2 linked regions of the Saccharomyces cerevisiae S288C genome follow. The gene in region 2 interacts genetically with the main gene of each other region. Each region holds a gene or a part of one and is shown on either strand. Other genes may lie near its edges.

What was found. A genetic interaction does not mean that the proteins touch.
Region 1: mutations in TPM1 (region 2) and CHS3 impair growth when combined (synthetic growth defect), as found in Saccharomyces cerevisiae (4 studies listed by BioGRID, with this or other methods).

Annotation. Positions count from the first base shown.
Region 1 is NC_001134.8:283,928-289,696, reverse strand, and holds CHS3 (chitin synthase CHS3), read left to right. Parts: upstream 1-1,771; coding exon 1,772-5,269; downstream 5,270-5,769. Other genes in the region: putative thioredoxin peroxidase SCO2, read right to left, coding at 1-252; POA1 (ADP-ribose 1''-phosphate phosphatase), read right to left, coding at 5,426-5,769. UniProt on the Saccharomyces cerevisiae protein: Polymerizes chitin, a structural polymer of the cell wall and septum, by transferring the sugar moiety of UDP-GlcNAc to the non-reducing end of the growing chitin polymer.
Region 2 is NC_001146.8:477,163-481,915, forward strand, and holds TPM1 (tropomyosin TPM1), read right to left. Parts: upstream 2,004-4,753; coding exon 1,404-2,003; downstream 1-1,403. Other genes in the region: EOS1 (Eos1p), read right to left, coding at 1-870; NIS1 (Nis1p), read left to right, coding at 2,606-3,829; APJ1 (Apj1p), read left to right, coding at 4,229-4,753.

The DNA.
Region 1 (5,769 bases), on a different chromosome or scaffold from region 2:
AATGGTGGCCTTCCATCTGGAAAATTGAAAAAACCTGGTTCTAATAGGCTCTGGTTCATTGATTTCATCACCTAGTTGTAGCCTATCTAGTGGTTGTCTTGCACTTGGGCTTTCCTTGTTATCACTCCTCAAACAACATCCCGTTGAAAACCCTCTTCGATATGCGCCTCCATTATAAAAGAGTCCTTTTATTGAGACGTTCGCTTGTCTGAATAGGGAACGACAAGCATATTTTCTTGAACTATTCAACATTTTACTCTCGCTTCCCAAATTCCCCTTTCTATGGTGATATTATAAAAGATCCTGTAAGCTGCTGTTTTACGAAGGTATTGTAGACGATCCGTAGCCCTCTTTAGCAATTGTTTGACTACTATCGATGGGACTTCTCGAAATTCATACTTTGTTAGGTTTTCTTTTTTATCCCTAAAAAGAGCGAAAGGATCAAGCAGAAAATTAAAACAATAGGCTACATCATCGAAGTTTCAAAGACCGGCATATCCGTCCATTTTTGAAAACACCCCACCCAAAATTGTAACTATCGACAGATTCTATGATAGCTACCCCGGGATGAAGGGCAGTCTTCTATAACTTGGGGCGGCAAGCAAACCAACCGTCATAGTTAATAAACCACACGTTGGTTATTTAGATTTCTCGTCCTGCTTTTCTGTCGCCAATAGGGCAACCTTAGAAAAGGTTTGAGGATAGTGACTACATGCAATCAAGGTAAAAGCGTTATCGAATAAGTAACAAGCATTCCGTGCTAAATTGACGAGAATTGGCAAGATGCGTCAGCACTATTTGGAGCAAACACACCAACTGGATGTCTTAAAAGTCAATTCAACGACCAATTTATGTAACCAGCGTGACTAGGGCAACGAATTTACGTCTTTTTTCTAAACTGCATATGCTATGAAATTAAAGATATACTGCCTCTATAAAAACATTTATATTTTCCCTCCTTTGCAATGGAAATGAAAACGGCGGTAAAAAAATTCGTGAGAATAAAGAGACGAGTACAAAAGTTCAATTAAAAACGCCAGGAACTGTTCTTTATCTTATTCTCTCCGTACGCTGTGTCACAAAGCTCTTGTATTGTGTCTCGCTTTCTTTTTCCAGATCTATGAAACCAGAATCACACCGCAGCAGCGACGGCTGTACCGTATTTAAGAGAATCCGCATGGGAAAAGATTACAAATTACCCTAGACAAATTTATAGAAGCGGTGCTTGTGAGATTTACTCACATTCTAGGATTCGAGAACTAAGCATTGTAGTTCTTATTTACATCCTTGAACAAATACCTGCCTATCTCCGCACGTACTACGTAGCCACAAATGTATATATAATCGTGCGTTGTATTTGCGCCCTCACCCACATATTTGACATGTGCATGAGACTGGATATTTCTTGAAGCATATTCAATAGCGTCGATGGACAGTTAGCCCGCAGTTGTATTGCATTCAGCACCTGCATAGGTGACCCTCTTTGGCTGCCTATTTGGATAAAACGCGTTATTGGCGCTGGCGCAGACCTCGAAAAAAAAAATCAAAAATGAAAATAAGAGCATAAAAATAGAAATCAAAAATATTCTTTCCTGTGTTTCAGATTTACATTCAGTACCAACATTTCGACTTGTAGTAAATCCTGCTAGAAGAATCACATTGGTAGACGGTTATAAACGTTTACCGATTTGCAAAGTTCTCGAGTATTTTTGGTGTAGGTCCCATTTTCTTCAAAGGTCCTGTTTAGACTATCCGCAGGAAAGAAATTAGAATGACCGGCTTGAATGGAGATGATCCTGATGACTACTATCTGAACCTTAATCAAGATGAAGAGTCTCTACTTAGGTCAAGACACAGTGTCGGCTCAGGAGCACCTCATAGACAAGGCTCTTTAGTGCGGCCCGAAAGAAGCCGACTGAACAATCCTGATAATCCACATTTTTATTATGCGCAGAAAACGCAGGAGCAGATGAATCACCTGGATGTTTTACCATCAAGTACCGGTGTAAACCCAAATGCAACTCGTCGGAGTGGCTCCCTGCGCTCCAAAGGCTCAGTGAGAAGCAAATTTAGTGGCCGCGAAACGGATAGCTATCTTTTACAAGATATGAATACTACTGACAAGAAGGCTTCCGTTAAAATAAGTGATGAAGGTGTTGCGGAAGACGAATTTGATAAAGATGGTGATGTGGACAATTTCGAAGAAAGCTCCACGCAGCCCATAAATAAGTCTATCAAACCATTAAGAAAGGAAACGAATGATACATTGTCATTTTGGCAGATGTACTGTTATTTCATTACGTTTTGGGCACCTGCTCCAATTCTTGCTTTCTGCGGGATGCCAAAGAAGGAAAGACAAATGGCGTGGAGAGAAAAGGTTGCTTTAATTTCTGTCATCTTGTACATTGGTGCGATTGTGGCTTTCCTGACTTTTGGTTTCACTAAAACCGTTTGTAGTAGTTCGAAACTACGTTTGAAAAACAACGAAGTATCAACAGAATTTGTCGTAATTAACGGTAAGGCTTATGAATTGGATACTTCCTCGCGTTCCGGTATACAAGACGTTGAAGTAGATTCAGACACCCTTTATGGGCCCTGGTCAGATGCTGGTAAAGATGCTTCGTTCTTGTTTCAAAATGTGAATGGTAACTGTCATAACCTTATAACTCCAAAGAGTAATTCTTCCATTCCCCATGACGATGATAATAATTTAGCATGGTATTTTCCTTGTAAGTTAAAGAATCAAGATGGCTCTTCGAAGCCAAACTTCACAGTTGAAAATTACGCAGGATGGAACTGTCATACGTCTAAAGAAGATAGGGACGCATTTTACGGTTTAAAGTCGAAAGCTGATGTTTACTTCACTTGGGATGGTATAAAGAACTCTTCTAGAAACTTGATTGTTTATAATGGCGACGTTTTGGATTTAGATCTTCTTGATTGGTTGGAAAAGGATGACGTTGACTATCCCGTTGTATTCGATGACTTGAAGACTTCAAATTTACAAGGTTATGATCTTTCGTTGGTTTTGTCAAATGGGCATGAAAGAAAAATTGCGAGATGTTTGAGCGAAATTATTAAAGTTGGTGAAGTAGACTCCAAAACCGTCGGTTGTATTGCCTCTGATGTCGTTTTGTATGTTTCTCTGGTATTTATTCTTTCAGTGGTGATAATTAAATTCATAATTGCCTGCTACTTCCGTTGGACTGTAGCTAGGAAACAAGGTGCATATATCGTGGACAATAAAACAATGGATAAACACACAAACGATATCGAGGATTGGTCTAATAATATTCAAACAAAAGCTCCTCTAAAGGAAGTAGATCCTCATTTGAGGCCAAAGAAATACTCAAAAAAGTCGTTGGGACACAAGCGTGCTTCAACCTTTGACTTGCTGAAAAAACACAGCTCCAAAATGTTTCAATTTAACGAATCTGTGATAGATCTAGACACCTCCATGAGCAGTTCACTACAATCTTCTGGTTCATACAGAGGAATGACAACAATGACCACTCAAAATGCTTGGAAACTCTCGAATGAAAACAAAGCTGTACATTCCCGTAATCCATCTACTTTGTTGCCTACATCCTCGATGTTTTGGAATAAAGCGACTTCCTCTCCTGTACCAGGATCATCGCTGATTCAGAGTCTTGATTCGACGATTATACATCCCGATATCGTTCAACAACCACCACTGGATTTTATGCCATACGGGTTCCCATTGATTCATACTATCTGTTTTGTTACTTGTTATTCTGAGGATGAAGAGGGTTTAAGAACCACTTTAGACTCTCTTTCTACCACAGATTATCCAAATTCCCATAAACTACTGATGGTTGTTTGTGATGGTTTAATTAAGGGCTCGGGCAACGATAAGACTACTCCAGAGATAGCGTTAGGAATGATGGACGACTTTGTCACCCCACCTGATGAAGTTAAACCTTACTCCTATGTGGCAGTGGCATCAGGCTCTAAAAGACACAATATGGCCAAGATATATGCGGGTTTTTACAAATATGACGATTCTACAATTCCACCAGAAAATCAACAACGTGTCCCAATCATTACAATTGTGAAGTGCGGTACTCCTGCAGAGCAGGGGGCCGCCAAACCCGGTAACAGAGGTAAGCGTGATTCTCAAATTATTCTGATGTCCTTTTTAGAAAAAATAACATTTGATGAAAGAATGACTCAATTGGAATTTCAGCTTTTAAAAAATATTTGGCAGATTACGGGGCTAATGGCAGACTTCTACGAAACGGTACTTATGGTTGATGCTGATACTAAAGTCTTTCCCGATGCTTTAACTCATATGGTCGCTGAAATGGTTAAAGATCCTTTGATTATGGGTCTTTGTGGTGAGACCAAGATCGCTAATAAGGCACAATCTTGGGTAACTGCAATTCAAGTGTTTGAGTACTATATTTCGCATCATCAGGCTAAAGCTTTTGAATCTGTCTTCGGTTCGGTAACTTGTTTGCCGGGATGTTTCTCAATGTATCGTATAAAATCTCCTAAAGGTTCAGATGGTTATTGGGTACCTGTATTGGCAAATCCAGATATTGTTGAAAGATATTCGGATAATGTTACAAACACTTTGCATAAGAAGAACTTATTATTACTTGGTGAAGATAGATTTTTATCTTCATTAATGTTAAAGACTTTCCCTAAGAGAAAGCAAGTATTTGTTCCAAAAGCTGCTTGTAAAACTATTGCCCCTGATAAATTCAAAGTCTTACTTTCCCAGCGTCGAAGATGGATTAATTCTACGGTACATAACCTTTTTGAATTAGTTCTAATCAGAGACTTATGTGGCACTTTCTGTTTTTCCATGCAATTTGTGATTGGTATTGAATTGATTGGTACTATGGTACTGCCGTTAGCCATTTGCTTTACTATTTATGTCATTATTTTTGCCATTGTATCAAAACCTACACCCGTAATCACTTTAGTTTTACTGGCAATTATTCTTGGTCTGCCCGGCTTAATTGTTGTTATAACTGCTACGAGATGGTCGTACCTATGGTGGATGTGCGTATATATTTGTGCTTTGCCTATTTGGAATTTCGTACTACCTTCATATGCGTACTGGAAATTTGATGACTTCTCATGGGGTGATACGAGAACTATTGCGGGAGGTAATAAAAAGGCACAAGACGAGAATGAAGGTGAATTTGATCACTCAAAGATTAAAATGAGGACATGGAGGGAATTTGAAAGGGAAGATATTCTCAATCGGAAGGAGGAAAGTGACTCCTTCGTTGCATAGACAGTATGAAAATATTTTTACTGTGATACTTACAAGTTGATATATGGTTGTGTGTAACTTATTTATTTGAGAGGTATTTTAACACACCTTAGAACTAAAACTTAATAAATAAATATTTCTCTATCTTTAAAGGCACATATTACGTGGCTAAGGCAATTACAGCTGATATACTGTAAAACTCATGTCGCCACTAAATTCTTCTAACACGCGTTCTGTCTCTTTCCAAGGGACTCCGAATATGCCACTATTTATCTGTGGCATTTCCAATTTATATTCCCCTATTGGGTATTTGATGTGGCCGTTTAAATAGTCACCGATTGAATCTTCACTTGTTCGAGTTTTGTCTTTTGCTTCTCTAAAGGTCTTCAATTTATCTAAAGCAAGTTTTGTATAATTCAAAATACTTTGCTTTTCTCCATGACTTGAACCTCCAAATGATGATGTAAACAAGCAACAAATCAGCAGATCTGAGTTTTCGTAACTGGGAAGTAATATGCATT
Region 2 (4,753 bases):
GGGCCTGTTAACAGGAAACAATCCGCCATCACTGTTATCGGAGAGACTGTCGTTGGAAGGAACATCTACTGTACTTTCGTCGGCTACCACAACATGTGAGTCTTCATCAGCGTCATCTTCACCATCCTCATAGTCTTCTGTTTCTTCTGGAACATTAGTATCCTCTTGTACTTCGCCTTCCTGGTTCCTGATATACCTCAGATCCGAGGTAAGATAACTTTGCCAAATGTACACTGCTGTTAGTACACAACTAATGAGTATCCATGTATGCAAAAAATAGTCGAGTTCCGGAGACAAAGACGACAAAAGAAGGAGTTCTAAGGTGACAATGATCAATGACATGGAAAACATTCTTAAAATGGCGGCCACAGTAGAGTACTTGACGATCCATCGGACCATCAAAGAGTCGAGAATGGCATACGAGAGGTATAAAGACACCAGGCACCAAAGTGAGCAAAGGAGATATTCAGACGCTCTTGCTGTAGTGAGTGCGGATAATAGGAGTGAATCCTTACCGTCGCCATTCACAGCCTTTTGCGAAGCTCCTTCAAATGATGAGTTATTGTCGTAAGCGCTATTGAGTTTTTGCCAGAAATAAGTGAACGCATCTCTTAGTGATTGTGGCTCGTAAAGCGTTATGCTGGTGCGCATGGAGACTCTCCAAGCCTTCCGCAGAGATGTGAAGATGTAAGTTAACGGCGGTAAAAGGGATATGTCCCTGCATAAGGCCATCAGCATATGCTGCTTGGCAGTTAAATGATTCAAAGACAGCGTTTTCATAGAACTGTACGTCTTTTTAAAGGTCGCTCGCTCATGCTTGGCATACTTGTCCTCATGAGGGCCCATACCAGTACTTAGTATCCACGTCATCTGGTTTTTTAAAACCCTGAAGAATCAAATAAGATTATTTGACCAAAGGAAGGGAAGGGAAGAGAAAAAAAACTTAAAGAAAAAAGAAATGAGAAACCCTGGTGTGTTCACGTAGATGCACAGACGGTGGGCAACCCAAAACTTAGTCTTCCGATAAACTTTTCAGGTTCTTGTACACGTGGAAACGCCCGATATATATCACATGTAGCTGTGTAATATGAGAATGCCTTTGTCCATGTGATAAACCGTGCAAAACTTAACATGGGAGCAGGCACAAGTGTGAGTCCCACGAACAAAACGCCGCTCGGGTAATAACGCCCAATGTAAAAACATCATAAATCAGCACGCAAACGGTAAAGAACAAAAACATCTTCAAGGGAAAAGTATACAGATGTATAGTCTAAGCTATTGTATTTGTATAAATGGTTCTTATTTTAGTTTCGTTTGCCCATGAGCGTTTGATTTGCTCAAGAACAAGGAACAAAGACCAGCGTGTTGGGGAAAAGAAAAAGAAAACAAAAAACAAAAGTAGATCACAAGTTTTCCAGAGATGCAGCAATTTCGTCCAGTTCCTTCTTTGCGTCTTCGTACTTGACGGTCAATTCCTCGTTCTTTCTTTCCCATTCTTCTCTTTGTTCTTCCAAGGCAGCTACTCTTCTTTCCAATTGATCTGCCTTCAAGTCGGACTCTCTCAATTTCTCAGTGGTTTCCTTTAGCTTGGTGTCGCTTTCCTCCAAGTCTTCTTCCAATTGCTGGTTCTTCTTGGAGAAATTGTCGTTGTTGGACTGCAAGTGGTGAGAGTCCTCGGACAATTGCTTGGATTCAGCCAATTCTGCTTCCAACTTCTCGATCTCTTCCTCCAATTGGTGGTTCTTCACCGTCAAGGACTTGATCTGATTTTCTTTTTCAACGTTATCCTGTTCTGTTTGCTTAGAGTCAGAAAGTCCCGCTTCCAGCTTCTCGATCTCATCCTCCAATTGCTGGTTTTTGACGGTTAAAGACTTGATCTGATTCTCCTTTTCGACGTTCTCTTGCTCCAAGTCCTTGTTCTTCTCTTTCAACTCCTCGTACTTCTCCTGCCATGATTCGGCTTCCAACTTCAAGTTGCTTAGCTTTTCTCTGATTTTGTCCATTGTTGCCTTTTTTGTGTGTATGGGGTGTGAGTTCTACTATGTAGATTTCTTCTACCAACCTAATCTTTTACAGTATCAGAAGGGAAAAACGAACCTTCTTCTTGCCAAGTATGCAGTATGTGATCTCTAACACTTTTCCGTTTCTCGTAGATCGTGCTATGGTGTGCTGATTTTTTATTTTAATGGTTACCCGACTTCTTTACCCGGCTCTCCGTCGGGTAAGATATATGTGCTAGCGCCACGCGATGGCTGGTTTGTCTTTTTAAGTTCTTAATATTTATTTTTATATTTTGATTTTTTTTTTTTTTTTTTTTTTCCATTAGTGAATGACAGCAATGTATTAAGCTGCTGCCGCGCATACAAAATGTACTGCGTTAAATTAGATTAGCTTAAATTAGTGCTTGGTAAAGGAGGAGTGGTTTCAAGTCCGGTGTGCGCCCCACTTTATTCGGGTATCTTCTACGTTTTTACATCCATGTTTCAGGTACTGTTGAAAATAGTTAAGATCGTTCGTATTTCTTAATTCATGTATTTTTCCCTGTTCCTAACTCGCAAACATCAGTTTTCTTGCAGATACGTCTTGAAATACAACCATACAGACAATGGAGACATACGAGACTAGCATTGGGACTCAGTCTTATCCCCCGACTTTGTTCCCACCTCCCCTGGGTACCGGTGGGTTTACCACTTCAGGTTATATACATGCGCTTGTGGATTCTACATCGAACTCGAACTCGAACTCGAACACAAATTCGAACACAAATTCGAACACAAATTCAAATTCAGATACCAAGATTCCTATAGTGCAAATATCGGATGACTCTCATATAACACACGACAGCTTCAAACCATATATGGAGTACCACGATGCTTCGCACTTGAGGAACCGTAACATAAGCAAAGCGGACCAGGTTGAAAGCACTGAAGTGATGGAACAGTTTACGCAATGGTCGAATTATAAGATGAGGTCTCGCTCTCCTACCATAAACGCAAAGCCAATTCGACACACTTCACAACGAAGAACAGACTTTACCAGCAAAAATGAACTCTCCAAGTTCAGCAAGAATCATAATTTCATTTTTCACAAAGGGTTTTTGAAGAGGCAACACTCCATACGCAGGGAAGACAGGCAAGCAAAGGTACGGTCAAGATTCAGGAGCAAGAAGGAGCTGACATCCGTTTTGAACTATATAGAACTGGAACAAATGGATATTGCAAATGTCCTGGCTTCGCAACCGGTAAACTTACACGCTATCAGAAATCTCACTAGCAGGGACCCTGCGGTAACTCCTATCCCATTTTTAAGAAGCCAGATGTATGCAACCAGTAGTCGTCCACCGTATCTAAGGAACCGCTCCATAAGTAGGAAACTACCCAAATCACAACCAGGTAGTCTCCCGACGACTATGCCTGCGACGGCGACGAAAACAATTAAACAGAATTCAACGACCCCAACCACAAGATCTGTTTATAACAAGAATGTGGGGCGGTCCAATACTTCCCCTAGTGTGTTGTACCACCCAAAAAGAAGAGGAAAATTGAACACCAAATCGCATGCAAGAAAGGAGCAACTGCTGTTGGAACTGTGGAGAGAATACTTAATGCTGGTTATAACACAGAGGACGCAACTGCGCCTGACTTTGCTTTGCTCTCCGGGTTCAGCATCGAATGAAAGCTCTGTCTGCTCTTCTAACGCCAGCGACTTAGACATGTCCCTTTTATCTACTCCTTCAAGTCTCTTCCAGATGGCAGGTGAGACCAAAAGCAATCCTATAATTATACCCGACAGTCAAGACGATAGTATACTTAGTAGCGACCCCTTTTAAGTAGGTAACCCCCCCTGGATTGCATAGCCATTGCATAGCCTTAGACATCAAACTTTATTTAATCACATTATCCTTCTATGTATCTTTTTCCCCCGCTCGATTTCTTCTAGAACATTACGGAAAATAAAGGAAAAAAATGACTGGAGCATCGAATCTGTAGACTAAAAAGGTAATGACGCGTTCTTCGTTCCCACAAGTATGTGAAATCGTTTGAACGCTTTTATATACTGATAGGAATAGATTATAATAGTATTCAACATTCATCAAACAGTTTATATCGGTAATAAACCAACCTCACGATACAGTGATTATTTCTCTAAACAACACGAGCCGTACTGTACCTACGATAAAGTAAAACACATTTTTCTTTTGCTACCAGTGGACACAAGATAACGGAGAATGCAACAAAACACGTCTTTATATGACTCTTTGAACGTTACTGCCGCTGCATCCACATCTGAGATTAAGAAAGCTTACAGGAACGCTGCATTAAAATATCATCCTGATAAAAACAATCATACAGAAGAATCCAAGCGAAAGTTTCAAGAGATATGCCAGGCATACGAAATACTTAAAGACAATCGTTTAAGAGCTTTGTATGACCAGTACGGTACCACAGATGAAGTCCTGATTCAAGAGCAGCAGGCGCAGGCGCAACGCCAACAAGCCGGGCCGTTCAGTTCATCCTCAAATTTCGATACGGAAGCAATGTCATTCCCGGATCTATCTCCAGGTGATCTTTTCGCGCAGTTTTTTAATAGTTCTGCTACCCCCTCTTCTAATGGCTCCAAAAGCAGTTTTAATTTTAGCTTCAATAATAGCTCTACGCCGAGCTTCTCCTTTGTTAATGGCAGTGGCGTGAACAATCTGTACTCCTCGTCAGCAAAATACAACTCCAACGATGAGGACCATCATTTGGATAGA